2 linked regions of the Lonchura striata genome follow. The protein of the gene in region 2 interacts with the protein of the main gene of each other region in a pairwise test. Links are inferred from orthologs where the notes say so. Each region holds a gene or a part of one and is shown on either strand. Other genes may lie near its edges.

What was found.
Region 1: the proteins of XRN2 (region 2) and TARDBP interact in binary tests that used the Homo sapiens proteins (3 or more experiments, as listed by UniProt). The link is inferred for Lonchura striata from reciprocal best matches to the Homo sapiens genes XRN2 and TARDBP.

The regions. Positions count from the first base shown.
Region 1 is NC_134626.1:2,036,057-2,043,335, forward strand, and holds the start of TARDBP (TAR DNA-binding protein 43), read left to right. Parts: upstream 1-4,238; 5' UTR 4,239-4,441; intron 4,442-4,826; 5' UTR 4,827-4,841; coding exon 4,842-5,079; intron 5,080-5,805; coding exon 5,806-5,969; intron 5,970-6,283; coding exon 6,284-6,424; intron 6,425-7,108; coding exon 7,109-7,279. UniProt on the Homo sapiens protein: RNA-binding protein that is involved in various steps of RNA biogenesis and processing.
Region 2 is NC_134605.1:28,057,070-28,064,829, reverse strand, and holds the start of XRN2 (5'-3' exoribonuclease 2), read left to right. Parts: upstream 1-4,691; 5' UTR 4,692-4,755; coding exon 4,756-4,830; intron 4,831-7,760. Other genes in the region: KIZ (centrosomal protein kizuna), read left to right, coding at 977-1,080. UniProt on the Homo sapiens protein: Possesses 5'->3' exoribonuclease activity. May promote the termination of transcription by RNA polymerase II.

The DNA of each region.
Region 1 (7,279 bases), on a different chromosome or scaffold from region 2:
GGAAATTTGGGTGGACCTCAATTTATGGTGGACAGCCAAAGAACAACGGTCTGATGTCATCATAAATCATTTATATTGCAAATGATTTAAAATAATGAAAACCCATATGCATTAAATTTTGACCTGTACATCCACTTGAGATATTTTAAGTAGACAAAAAATAGATTTTACATAAATCTTCAGTAAATGTATTTAAAAAAAAATCACGAGGCAGTAAAGCCTCTTTTAAAAACAGTCTTTGTCTTATCCTTCAGCTCTTGCTTCAATGTGCATTATTCAAAACCAGCATTATTCAAAACCAGTCTGCCCTGTCCTTGAGAGAAAAGCAGAAAAAGATAAAAAACATAGAAGGAAAACTAGACAAAACAGCTTGTGAACAAATCCTGCCAAAGCTGTCCTTCACACTATTCCAGGTGTTACAGAGTACTTGCTACACCTTACCCAAGCCACCTGTGGCTTTTGAAAGATTCTATTTCCAACCCCCTCTATAAATTCCAATGTTGTATTTGGTATTTAGAACCTGTCACACACCAAGACATGCAATTTTTTTTACCAGTTCCTAGTCTGTGGCCTTTATCCTTTGGTTTATGCCAACCGATGCCAATGGAAGTTCATGCTCTTCCTTGCTACGAGTTACTATAGAATCTTGCCAAAAAGAGACTCTGAATCCCAGGCTCTGGATCCCAGCTCCACTACAGCATAAAAGGCATCAAATTCCTTTGGAAGCTGCATGGCACATCAGCATCAGGAACTGACTAGATACCTCTGTGAATCATGGGGAGAAATTCTTCCCAGGCTCTGCTATTGGATGCTCTAGAAAGGCAAGGGAGATGACTTGAAGATGGTTTGATCTAACTCTGCCAAACAAAACAGAGTAAAGTGATTTTTGTATTCCCTGTGTAAGCTGCAATTGTTTGACAGTTCTCACAGGCACCACTCAAACAGGAGGATGGAGATGTCACATAATCCCCACTGTTCTCTTCGCAGCTTGTAAAGGTCAGGCCAATGCCAGTAATGGCTTTGGAGCTCAGAGAGGCCTTTTGGTCACCATTTGGGTTTCCAGTAACTACAGAAGATTCTTAGTTCCTACCAGAGCTCTCAGCCAGGCCAGTCCTTCTGTTTGCTGGGGCTGGTTTGCTGAGTAGCAGCCAGGACACCACCACACCTGGCTGGTGAGCCTTGGAGTTCCAGTGACATGCACTCCAACAAGCCTCACCCAATAGCTACTAGGGCTGAAAGGACCCAGACTGAGCCACTGAGCCCTTCTGGAACTTTAAAAGAGCCAAACCTATAAAAAATCTGATTGTCAATATGTTTGCTGAGAGATTAAAAAAAACACATCACCTGTTCTAATCAGTCTGGAAGAGTTAAGTAACATGGTATGAACATTAGTATGAACCAAAAGGAATGCAGAAACTCTTCCTCTTTATGCAACGGGACTAAACTATCTCAGGTGGATTAGAAATGAGATAATTGGAATCATCATTTCATAGGATGATGGAAAAATTGCCTTAAATATTTCAGGCACTATAATGAAGCCTTAAGTGATGTTTTAGCTGAGGGAATTAGGAGTGTGAGTACCATGGACTAAGAAATCTTTTCAGGTACTTTATGTGGGTGAAAACTACTTACTTTGTTTCAGGGAAACTTTTCTTTAGTAGTTGTTGTAGACTGATGGGCATGAGTAAAATTTTTATGTTGATAATTTGCCTGTAAATGGAAAGCTCTAATTCTGGTAGGTATTTATGGAGAAACTGTTCATCCTCCTTATCAATCTGACTAGACCAATACACCATTATTCATGAAATTGTCCTGTCTTTTACTGCTCTGTAATTAGGAATAGGCCCAGGCATTTCATGTTTTTCATGTACCCATAGTTGCATGGGGGTTTTTGTATAAGGAGCTTATATTTAAGTGCCCATTGATAATGTTTTTTATTCCAGGTTCTTTTGGGAGGGTGAAGAGTTGATCATTATACTGAGTTTGCTTGTACCCATGAGCACACTTAACCCAGAGCAGCAAACAGTTATTGCATTGCATTTTGTTTTGTGCCTCTGGGCGCACTTAAATGATGGCTAGTACCACATATTGTATTTGTCTGCACCTATGGGCCCTTGGAATTGCCAGTGTGAAGGAACTGGTGAATTAACTAGTGGTATGCCCGCTGGTGTACTTACTTCAAGAGCAATACTACTGTTAATTGCTTAACTTAAACCTAATAATAATGCAAAATAACAGAACGGAAGTGCTGCAAGAATCCCGATTCAACCTTTGCTTAATTCTAAGCTTGTTTGTTGCCAAAACTGAGGAAGTTTTGGGGGCAGAAGTCACTCGTGGCTAATTGTCCTTTCCCTCCCTGTTTTACATTCAGCACAGAGCTCCCTGTTCTCAAGCTTCTACCTGCACAAAATCTAGTCCAAGGCTGGTGCTTACTCTGCTCATTAGTGAAATTACCACCAGATGCTGTGTGAGATGGAGGCCACTCTGACTCAGCACCACAACAACCTCTTCAACAGTGCTATTGCTGAACTCTGAGTGGAAATGGTGCAGCACATAATGCTGACACACAATTACCACTCCATCCTCACAGCATGCCATGTTCATGACACTGGCTGCCTCCATGCTGACTTGACAACAACAGAACTGGCTTTGGGCTGTATATTGTGAATCACTAGAAAAGGTACACATTTCAAGAGCATTACCTTCTCTTGTTAGCCTCTGTCTAGTCAGGTCTTCTCAGAACTCTGTTAAAATGGTAATTAAATGGCAAGACTGAGTCTCCTCACTGGCATGGATGAGCTGAACTTCAGTGGTGCTGGGAGCCAATTTTTGCACTTGAAGAAATCTAAAGTGGGAGTCTTAAATACTCTCAGCAGAAGCCATTAATGCAAGGTACTGGATTAACCTTTTCTAGTAGTAGAGTCATCTGTCCTTACTAATAATGAAACTCTGCCGTAGTCAGCCTGGTTAATCTACCTCTTCCTCAGGGAATACTTGCATAAAATCTGCAGAAGGCATGTTGGATCAATTCTTCCTACTCAGTGCAAAATGATGCTGTTCAAGAGCTATACTCAGCCAGTATTGCTCACATGCCTCTGTTGGCAACAGGGCTTGTGTCCTTTTCCAACTTATACATAACATTCAACGCCGACACTTCCAGGGTGATGCTGATAACAGCTGATTGCATCTCTAATGTTTCCTTTCTCTTCTGTCCAATTCTGTGAAAAAGGGATCTTCAAGTGCAAGTGTGGAATCTCCTCCTGTGCAACTAGAAGAGCCCAGGGTACACTTGAGATGATTCACAGGAAAGCTCTCCCCAGGGGTGGAGACCTCTCATTGTACCCTGGAAACACTGCACCACTACTTAGGCCTTGTTAGAAGAGTCTGTGCGGACTGTGATTGGTTTGGTTTTACTCTTAAGTTATGGGAGGGGGTTTTGGTTGTTTTCTGTTTGCTTGAGGTTTTTTTGCTTATTTTGTTGGTTTTCGTAGTTTTTTTTTCTAGAAATTACATAATCTTCTGAGTGGGAAGGGACCCATAACATCAAACTCTCCAACTCCTGCACAGCACATCCCAGCAATCCCACCCTGTCCCTGAGAGCTTTGTTTAAACACTCCTCGAGCTCTGGCAGCCTTGGCACCGTGACCACTGCCCTGGGAGCCTGCCCGACCATCCTCTGGGGGAAGAATCTTTTCCTGATATATTTGCCTGAACTTTCTCTGACCCAGGTCCCGTCAGTGGCCGCAGAGAGCAGAGATCGGAACTCTACCCCTGCGCTGCCCTCACAAGGAAGTTGTAGGCTCCGATGAGGTCTCCCCTCAACACGTCAGGTGAACAAGTTTGGGTTTTGGCACTTTGCGGGTTTTTGTTTGTTTGTTTCGGTTTTGTTTTGTTTTTTTTCCCCTTAAATTAGGTGCCCTGGTTCTTTCTGGTAGCGGAGACGGGAGAGAGGCGTCGCAGAGTTTCGGCAAGGCTGTCTTTACCAGCGGCTGCTCCGGGCGAGCTACTCGGGGCCGTCCCGGGAGCCAAATCCGAATTCGCACTTGTGTCGTTACCGCCCTCACGGACAGGTCCCGCGCGGCGCCGGCTCCCGGCAGCTCCCGCGCTCGCGCAGGCGCGGGCACGACCGCACCACCGGCCCCGCACCTGGGGGAGCGCGGCACTGAGAGCTGCCGTCTCCGCCGCCGGTTCCGAGAACGCCGCTCGAGCTCCGGCTGCGAGCGGGCGGCGCCCGCTGGGGCACGGCCGGGGCTTCACGCTCTGCGGCGTTCCGAGCGCCCGCCGCAGTTCGCCCCCCCCCCCGTCACCCGCCTGGAATAGTTCGGCCCGCGGCCCGGCCTGGCCTTTGAGGTGCCGCGGCCGCCATTTTGTGCGGCGGCGGATAGAGTGCAGTGGAGGTGGTGCTGAGGGGTTCTCGGGACGTCGTTCCCTTCCCTGGCTGGTGAGTGCGGCCGGGTGGGGCCCGGCCCGGTTCGGCTGCGCGCGGTGCTGGGGCGGGTGGAGCCGCGGCCGGAGGTCGCGGGCTTGGGCGGGCCGGGCAGGCGGCGAGGCCGAGGGGGGCTGTGCTCACAGCCTCTCGGGGGGAGCTCATGGCGCCCCTGGGAATTTCCGCCGTGCTCGGGGACCAAGTCGCTGTTGGTATCTCCGTAACTCCAGGACGGGCAGAGGTGTACAGCAGGCCCGGACGCCTTAGTGTTAATGAATAGCGCGTTTCGGTGCTCTCGTGTTGTGTAATAAAGAGATTCGTGCCTCAGGGCGAAGATGAAAGCCAAGTCAGGGGGGGATAGGGTGATCGCTTACGCCTGCTCTTTCCCTTTTGTACTTAGTAACTTCCAGCGAAAATGTCGGAGTATATCCGGGTGACGGAGGACGAGAACGATGAGCCCATCGAAATCCCGTCGGAGGACGACGGCACGGTGCTGTTGTCCACGGTGACGGCGCAGTTCCCTGGGGCGTGCGGTCTGCGCTACAGAAACCCAGTGTCGCAGTGCATGCGAGGAGTCCGGCTGGTCGAGGGCATCCTGCACGCCCCGGAGGCCGGCTGGGGAAACCTCGTCTACGTCGTGAATTATCCCAAAGGTTTGTCCTCGTGGCTTCAGTTCTCTGTTCAGGGCTGCTTTCTTTAAGGTCCCAGTCACTGCTGATCTAACACAGCAACGTGTTACTCTTTAACTCTCTGATTCACAGAGATCAATTGTTTATTCAGGTGTCTGTTCTGCCGAGTAGGTTTGACCCCATTGAGTTTTGTATTTTTTTAACGCTCTACCTAAACAAGTACTTTAAAGACAAAGTCTTGCCTTATCCTTGAAGGCTAGCCTTCAAAGGGTACTGTAGTGTACTGTACTGCACTGTAGTGTTCTGTAATCTCTGTACTCACACACAGTTTTCCTCAAGTCATGGTTTGGTCAGAGATACCACTTAGAAGTGCACAGGAAAGGAGAAACTTGACCACCCTGCTCCACCCCCCAAAAATGAGAGGAAGTAAATAAATTGCTAGTGAAGTAGTCTTGTTAGAAGTTCATGTTTTCCCCACCTTATAGGACTGTGAATGTTGCTGGATAATTCTTCAGTAAACTAATGCAGAACTAACTGGGTCAGTTTGTATTTTGGAAGAGGACTCGATTGTGGACTGGCTTTGGTTCAGGGCAGGCAGATATGTGTTCCATTTAGCCCTGAACAGCTGATGTGTGTCTCTTACAGTCTGTACTCTTCCTCATCACGGGTTATAATTTAACACCATGCAGTTCATAGTCAGTGGGTCAATTTCCAGCGCTGAGGATGTCTAATGTACCTTTTTATATTCAGATAATAAGAGAAAAATGGATGAAACCGATGCATCATCGGCTGTGAAAGTGAAACGAGCTGTACAGAAGACTTCAGATTTAATAGTCTTGGGTCTTCCCTGGAAAACCACTGAACAAGACTTAAAGGAATATTTCAGTACCTTTGGAGAAGTTCTGATGGTGCAGGTAAAATCCATTTGTAGCTCAAGTAAGGAGGGACACTGGGTATATATCAGGCTCCCAAAAAAGCAAGTGGAAACAAAAGAGCTTTATAAACTTGGACAAGATCAGAAACCGTGTCTCTTTCTAAGGATGTCTTTTTTTTTTCCATGCACCTGTTAATTTTGGGAGAAGATGTTAAGGAATTAGAAGTTGCTATGTAAGAATGGTTGTAAGACAGATGAGCTCTCAAACAGATTTTTACCAAATTCATTCAGAAACAACATGCTCCATACTAGTGGTTACTTCTGGGTTTTGTTTTTTTTTTTTTTTCCACCTAGGTTAAGAAGGATATTAAAACAGGCCACTCAAAAGGTTTTGGGTTTGTTCGGTTCACGGATTACGAAACCCAAGTGAAAGTAATGTCTCAGCGTCACATGATCGATGGAAGATGGTGTGACTGTAAACTTCCCAACTCTAAGGTACTTTGGGATTTACTGCTGGTTTTATTTGTACCAAACACTCCAAGTGCACCTCTTTATCAGCTGTGTTAGGGGAGAGCAACTGCACAGAATAACTGTCCGCTCTCAGATGTGGCTTTGCTATGAATGAAAAGAACAAGTGAGAGTAAGGGAGGAAAACAGGCAGCAGGTGGGTGAACTGGAAGTAATTTGAAATGTTGGGAAAATCGCTCATTATGTGAGGGAATGAAGTACAGATAGAAATCTGTGTTTGATGTCCAGCAATACCTGCCTAACTTGCCTGTTGCATGAATAAATGCAGAATAAAGCAGATGGAATCAGTAATTTGGGGAAGAGCAGAACAAGTCTTTGAGCTCCAAACTGAACCTATAGCTTCTATTCTTGTCTCTCTATGCAATTATTACAAAGAAGTGTTCTTCTGTAGTGGCCTTGTCACCATCCCTGTGTGTTGCTCCCATGGTCATTTTCTTAAGGCTCTTCCCCCCCACCTCTACCAAGGTGCAGCCATGTTCTTGGAATAGAATTTTAAGATTTTATTTCTTTTTAAGTCTTAAATCTGCCATCTCAAACTTTCTTCCATCAGCAGCCCTCAGAACAGGCTAGATTAAGAGTGTCATTTGCCATCCTGTAACTCAGTTCTCAAGGACTGTAGTTGTGATACCTTTTTCCTTCAATTCTCTCCAGCAAAGTCCCGACGAACCTTTGCGCAGCAGGAAGGTGTTTGTTGGACGCTGCACCGAGGACATGACGGCAGATGAACTCCGACAGTTCTTTGCCCAGTATGGGGAAGTGGTAGATGTCTTCATTCCTAAACCCTTCCGAGCTTTTGCTTTTGTTACGTTTGCAGATGATCAG
Region 2 (7,760 bases):
TGCTTTGGTGGCACTTGAAAGACTCTGGCATGCCTGGCCCCTTTCTTGTCTTGGAGCCATTCAGCATGGCAGCCAGCGCAGGGCTGGCTCTGATGTTCCCAGCAGAGCACAGCCCCACGGCCCAGGGGGCCGGGGATGGAGGATGAAAGATGCAGATGCTGCATTTGTAGATAAGGTGTTCATGCAACTGGTGCTGTCAGAGGCACCAAAGTGCCTCAAACATGAGCTGCAGTGTGTGTGTGAGTTGTGACAGCCTTCCTCCTCCTGCTGTCCTGGCCCAGCCCTGAGCCTCATTCTAGCTGCCTTTGGACAGCCAGCAGCCTCTGGATTAGGTAGGAACAGAGAGCATGGCTCTGTCAGCTACTGTGGCCCTGACTTCATGTGCCACACTTCCCACTGTGTCCTATGCATGGGTCAAAAGAATTCACATCTCCAGAAATCTCTCAGGCACTCTGAATTTCCGTGGGATTCTGCTGCCGTCAGTAAAAGAGTTTGCTGATTCTCAGAGCCTAAGGTAAAAGCTATGTATGTGCTCCACTGAGATCAGACCTGCATGGATCTGCTCTGATCTCCAAGTGGTGATTTTTCATTTGTGATGCCATTGCTATTTTTGTGCCAACCCTGTGATGTCATGGCCCTCTGGTGACTTCATCGTAGGGTCAAGTAGTGGGGAGAAAGGGGAAGAGAATAGACAAAGCTGCAATTCAGACAGCATTTGGTCAAGTAAATTGCTTGGAGTGGAAATATTCTGCCCAGCTACCTTGTGGCACAATGGAGTGGAAGCATTGAATGAGGCCGCTGTCCAGCAGCCGCTCTGCTGCCGGACACTATGCCAGACACGCACACCTGGGGCTGAGGCTCCCAACTCCCAGCCCTCAGTCAGCCTCAGGAGACCTGTCCTGTGCTCATGGCTGTGACAAGTGGCATGGTCACAGAAAAGGTTTTGCACCTCTGCTTTCCGTCTTCTCACCCACAGCATTCTGGGGCGAATCTGACGACAGCTGCTCCGAACTCGAGGCTGCTCTGCGCCCACGGACCCACGGCACAGATTCAGACGACTTTGATGACTTCTATGACTGAGATTCTCTCACTGGCTTTTGGGAAGAAACAAACTGTGTTTTCTTTTACACAATGACTGTGCCACAGGCTGCAGCACTGCCTGTTACTTAATTGGCAAAGAAAATTTAAATACCAAATAAATGTAATGGGTCCTATATATTGTCTGTGTGCTCTCTCTGACCTGCAGTGTTTTCCTGCTCTGATGGGAATCCTGCCCCATGACAGTCCCCTCCTGAGGCTTGTGGCATCCCAATATTGGGACTTCAGTGCTAGACAGGGTTTGGGAAGAAGCAGACATGCATTGTGGGTATGCAGATAGGCGCTGCTGGGGTGGGCTGGTATGTTTGATCTTTATCTTCTTCTGCAACAGATCAAGAAGAAGAAATGCATAAAATGTCCATTTGTAATTCAGCACATTTTGGAACAGAGCAGCATTTACATGTGGCAAGCCCCAGCGCTTTCCTGCTTTTCCCTGCTTTGTGAAATCCATGCTGGTGTTGCTGTGTGGACATCACAGTAATTGGATGACTCCAGGAGCTTAATGCATTTTTAATTTTCTTCTTCCTTTTATCTAAAAATTACGTTCATTAAACATGAGATTTTCTTTGGGATGGAGAAACTAGGGGACATGTTAAAGCTGTTCTTAAATGACAACAAGTTCAAAAGCAGAAAGCAGCACCCCAATTAAGCTGTGCTGTGCTGTGCTGCACTCCCACGTCTCCCAACACAGGCACCCATCTCTGCACCCCGTTCCTCAAAACCCAGCTAGAAATGGGACCAACATTCAGTGTAATAAGAGGAACGTGTAGGCTGAAAGCTCAACAGAACAAAATGACTTGCAGAAGTCTTGGAACCAAGCAGAAGCTATTGGCACAGCTGGCTGCTGTGAGTAAGGCTGACATCCTGGGAGACTGCTGGGACTGTTGCAACTGACAGAGTGAGAGGACACAGTCTTTAGCTGCACCAAAGGAAATACAGGTTGGATATTAGGAAAAAGGTTTTTTACAGAAAGAGTGATAAAGTACTGGAATCATCTGCCTGCGGAGATGGTGGAGACACCATCCGTGGATCTGCTTTAAAATAGACTAGATGTGGCACTCAGTGTCGTGGTTGAGGTGTTAGGGCATGGGTTGTACTCAATGATCTTGAAGGTCCCTTTCAACCTTGTGGTTCTGTAACTAAAGCCAGACTTTACTGAGGGCTTTAATGTCCTTTTTACCACACCAACGCTCTGTGTCCTGTGGGACTGCTGCCTGCTGTCAGTGCTGTGGGGTGTGCATGTTGCTCAAGGCCTGGGAGGAACGTGGAGAGGCGGAGCAGCCTCACTGGAAAAATCCAGCAGCTTGCGCTACCAAGGGACATTGCCTCAGCAGCGCAGTGTCTTTGCAGCTCTGAGCTCCTCCTGAGTGACTCTGGGCTGCTGATGTCAGCCCGCTTTCTGTCTGCTGCATGACACCAGTGTGTGGGGCTTTCCACCACCAGAGTCTGGCTTAGCCCTGACAGCGGCCCATGACAGGTGACGGATGGCTGTAGAGCCACATGCAGGCAATCTCTGCCTCTTGGTGTCGGAGCAATAGCCAGGTTCCTCCAGAGCGTTATTGATGATACTCTTATTGTGCACAGACTCATTTGATTCAAAACATCCTGCCAGTCAACTAGTCAACTTCCCTGTGCTCTTTCACAGCTGTCACGCTGGCAGCCTGGCCCTGGTTGCAGGTGATGCTGACAGACAGAGGGACTGGAATCAATACACCCCAAACAGATTCCCATCAGCGCACCACTCATCTGAGGAAAGTGCCTGAGTAGGAAGCCTTCCTTGCTCCTGCCCAGGGTTCTCTGCTCTGTGCTGTGCTCATGGATGTGCAATTAGCAGGTGAGACCCAGGCTCACTGCCCAGTGCAGCTGCTGATGCTCAGACCAACTTTTCAAGGAATTGTCTGCTGCAGTATTCATTTTTCCAGCACTTGTTTACCCAAGCAATTATAAGATAAGATGATCGCCTTTCATTTGCATCTGCCAGCCTTCTGTTTTCTTCATCATTATCAGAAAAACTGATTGCCCATCAATACAAATAAAATGTTCATGCTAAGCTGCCATGCTCCCTACAAAATTCCGGGAGGAGAAGCACTACAATAGGAAGCTTCAATCAGGGAACATTTTGTAAGGAACAGATAAAGCACAATCTTCAGCTGATACCACAGGTGTGGTTGGTGCGACTACAAAGTTGCAGGGGAAATTTATTGAAGTCACAGATTTTATTGAGGGGAATGACAACAAAAAATGGCTTAACAACAGCCAAATGAGGATAAGAATAATGAGAGACACAATACTGGGTTAATTTATTCTACAGTGAATTAGCCAGGTACCAAAGTTCTCCTCTGCAACCCAAATCGGCAGCGTTGACTCAGCAAGCACTGCTGAGACTTTGTTATTTTTGTTAATGACTCCCAGGCTGCTGTTCCCTGTCCTTGGCCCTGCGGCTGCCCTGCTAACGGAGCTGATGGATGGCAACAGGACATGGCAGAGCAAAACCTGGCTTGTCTTAATCCCATTTAATTCCCAACCGTTTAATTCCATTTTGGTGCTGTTGAACGGCCACAAATTAACAGTATTTGCTTATGCCACGGGCAGAGCAAGGGCATGGGGACTCCTTGCCTCATGTTGCTCTCAGGAATCACAAAGAGCCACTTCCCACTGGAAATGTCCCCTCAGAGGGCACAGAGCAGCTGTGCCCTGAATTGCTTCTGTTGTTGCCAAACGCAGGATAAGTCAAAATTGTCTGAAGTCGGGATGTTCTCTAATGTAATATTTTTGTATACTTCCATGCAGAGACGTATTAGTGCATCCCTTCAAGGACACCCTGGAACCACCAAGCTTTAAGGATATAGGAAATCTAGATGTTGATGCCTATGTGTGCATTCCTAACTTGGCAAAACACCCAAATTCCATGTATCCTACAGCTGAACCGTGTTTGTCGTAACACTGAAACTCACACCTACAGGCCAAGAAGAGGTGCAGACCCTTCCCCTGAGCACATGGAAGAGTTGGCTGGGGTTACGTAACTCATGTGGAAATAACTGATCAATCCTAAAAGAGGGGCTGTGCTGAGGATGTTGCCAGCTCTGGATTTTTAAGTAACAGTGGTTGTGCTGCATTTAGGGAATATATTGAGCATGCAGCTCACGCAGCACTGAAATAAATCATCCATGTCTCTCTTAATTATTGACTTGTTGGACAACAGTGCCGTGCAGCCTAAAGCACCCCTCAGCAGCACCCCATGTTTTAACAAGGTGCTAAAGGAAGGTGATTCTCCTGTTAAACTGCTTCTTTATGGCCGTTTTTGAAGAGAAGTTGTCGCACTTGTCTTGGCTGAGTGTGAGGGCGGCAGTGGGGCTGCCTCAGGCTTCCCTCAGGTTTCGCTTTCCCTCCTGGATATCACTCTTGTGCCCTCTGGTTTTGCTTTTTCCCTGTGAGCGTCCCTTTTGTATGCCAGGAGCTGCGCAGACCCGTTTCGGGGCGCTGTCCCCTCACGCTCCCGGCTCCCGCCGCTGCCGCGCTCCCCGCCCCCCCCCAGACGGCGGCACCGCGCCACGTGACCGCGCGCGCCGCCCCCTCCCTTCCCGGCATGCCCCGCGCCGCCCCCTCGACCCGGAAGTGCCGCGGGTGCCGCTGGCCGCAGCCCGTCTCGCTGCCGCCATGGGGGTCCCGGCCTTCTTCCGCTGGCTCAGCCGCAAGTACCCCTCCATTATCGTCAACTGCGTCGAGGAGAAGGTGAGCAGGCCGCCCGGCATGGCACGGGCCCGGCATGGCGCCCCGGGGCGCCTCGGTCGTGGCGGCCGCACCGGTGCTGAGCCCCCGCTGTTGCCCCCGTGGGCTGCCCCGAGGCCTTTCCAAGGCATGTCGGTGGGTAGGTGGACTAGGGTTGTGTTTGGGTTTGTTTCGGGTGCTGTTTAGGATTGGGAGAAGTTTGAGGGTTTTTTGGGTTTTGGAGTTTTTTTCGGATTTTTAATCCCGATGGAAGCGGGAGGAGTTATCCCAGCGCCTCGTTGAGTGCCGCCGGCGCGCGTGAGCGCTCCTGGAAGGAACGGGCACGTGGAGGAAGTGGGAATGGGCGCCGGAGCAGGGAATCGAGCCCCTTCTCCGGCCGCTTCGCTGGAATTCCAGCCCTTCCCGACGCCCTCGGCTCTGCCCTCATGCGACTTCGATCCGGAAAGGTGGGATTTGAGGCACTGGTGAAATTTGAGTAGGGAGCAGTGGGAGTGCTTTTTGCTGTTTCTTGAATGTTTTTCACAGTCCTTTCTTTTCCACAACTTTTTTTGATGGGAATTAGAAGCCGCAGCAAGCTCCAGAACTTCCTGGAAACACGAGCGCAGCCGCCTCTGGCGCTACATCCAAGACTTACACCAAGCCTGTGCTTGTGCTCGAACCTTGATCAGCCTCAGGGGGTTTTGTCTCGTTGTTGGTGTTTTCTAGTTCAGGATAAACATCTCCTGGCCGAACAGGGAGCTGATTATTCCAAAGATGTCTCTAAAATATGGCTTTCCATGGCGGCAGCAGCAGCAGGTTTCAGTGAAGGCTCTGACCACAGCTGCCTTTCCAGGCAGTATTGAAGCTGAAGTGATGTTTGTTTCCGTGTTTTTTTGGACTGGTTCCTTCAGGCACATGCCTGCAACTGTGAGGGTGTTGTACCATCCTATGGGTCACAGTGGGAAGGGACAGGAAGGATGGGGGGGGGTTGTCTCCCTTCAGCAGCAGGCTTTGAGTGGCTGCACCATGGTGAATTACCACACTGTGCCCTGAGTGTGGCAAGTTTGCCTTCTCAGGGCTAATTCGAGCCTTTCTGAGGAGGCAGACTCTGGAGCTCTTGCTTTCCAAACTGCTTTTCCCATGGGCTTTTCCAAATAATTTGTGTTGTCTTGTTAGATGGTACTGGCTGTGGTGTGCTGGTTTGGAAAGTTCAGGGCATGTGGTGGCGCTTCTGCCTCTCTGCTCCTTCTCCCAAGGTGTGCTCACCTTGGGGAAATACTTGGAAGGGGATAGAGTGGGAGCATGATGGAGGAGGTCAGGGAGAAAAGGGTGAAGTGGTGAAATTCCGTGTTGAGGCTGCATGTGTACCCTGCCTGCAGCAGGATGTTCCGCTCTGCGCTTTTTCAGGGTGTTTTTGTGTTTCCGATTCAGGCAGTGAAGCACAGATTTGGTTAAAATTGTGAGTTGCTTTTGTGGTTTTATTACAGCTGTGATTTCAGTCCCTCTCAGCAAGGTAGGAAGTTTATTTTGCCTGTCGCTGCGAGAAGTGAATTTTTAATAGGGGGCAATTAAGATCTAAGAATCTGTCTGGGAATTTTTATAGAATAAAAGGGGGGTTGTGGGCTTAACAGTTTCTCTTAATGCTGAGCTCCAGCAGCACTGGCTCTTCTGGTTTCTGCACCAAACGCCTGAGGTGACCTCTCCCGAGGATCTGGGAACCCTCAGGCTCTGGGGCTGTCTTGGATAACCCTTTAAGATCTGTTATTGAAAAGCAGCAACAATTTAAACAGCAATTATATCTGTAACAGTTTGGGGCAGTTGTCTCTAAGAGCAGATTTGCCTTTTTCAGCACATTTGTAAATGTTAGATTAATCTCTGTGTAATCAAAGCTGTTCTCACATTTAGGCAAAACAAAGGTTTGCATAACCCTGGTTTTACTGATTGTGTGTCTCTTTTTATCAGTCTTTAATAACTGAGCTTGTACCATCCAAAGTTATTTATTAAAATAAGTGGAAAGACATAACAAATTCTTTGAATTAGATTTGCCGTAAGTGAAGTGGCAGCTCTTGCTGTCCTCATCCATGTTGCCTTGTTCCAACTCAAGAGCACGTGCAATTACAGCCAGGACAGCACATGGATAAATCATATTCATTAACATTTTTTTATATTCAAATCTGGTCATAAATCTGAGAGTGGACTAGGACATCAGGGAGAAGCTGTAGTTTGTCTTACTGTCAGTGAATTTAAGCTTCTCTCACAATGTAATCAGCTCTGTGTTTGTTTTAGGATTGCTGTAAATCTCTCTAATCAGAAATTTTGTATCTCCTCGTAGCTTGTCTCTCAACTGAAAAGTTGATCCTTGTTCTCTTACCTTGCCAGATTAATCAGATTTAAGAAAAAGAAATAATCTTCTTCTTAAGCTAAGCAGGAAGAATGAGAGGAAGATCTTGACGATAATAAAAAATCCAGGAGAGAATATTCTTAATCAAATGGACAGGAATTAATAAAGCTGCAGCTGAAGTATCATGTTTGAAGATCTGTTTTCAATGGTTTCAAAAGAGGCTGTAGATGAGAAGTGAACAGTTTAGTTATATCACAAGTGATATCGCTGCCACATACTTCAGCCTTCCTTCCACACGACTGCTGCATGAGAACCCCAGTGGGTCTGTGAAGGGGGGCTCATTCTCTGCCTCACAGAGCTGGGATTCCTTCTGAATCCCATTGAGCCCTGGAGAGAGGGTGGCTGGGGATCAAGGAGAATTCAGGGGGTAGCCCAGAGGAAGGTACAGTGTTTGCACTGACACTTAGTTTCTGCTAGCACTACCTTCTTTTGAGTGTGTGTGTGTGTCTGGAGAGCTCAGTAAAGGAGGCAAACATTGGTGCTTGGGGGTGGCATCTGTCAGGATAGCTGTGCCAAATGTAAATACTGCAAGACTTCAGAGGGTTTCATTTTG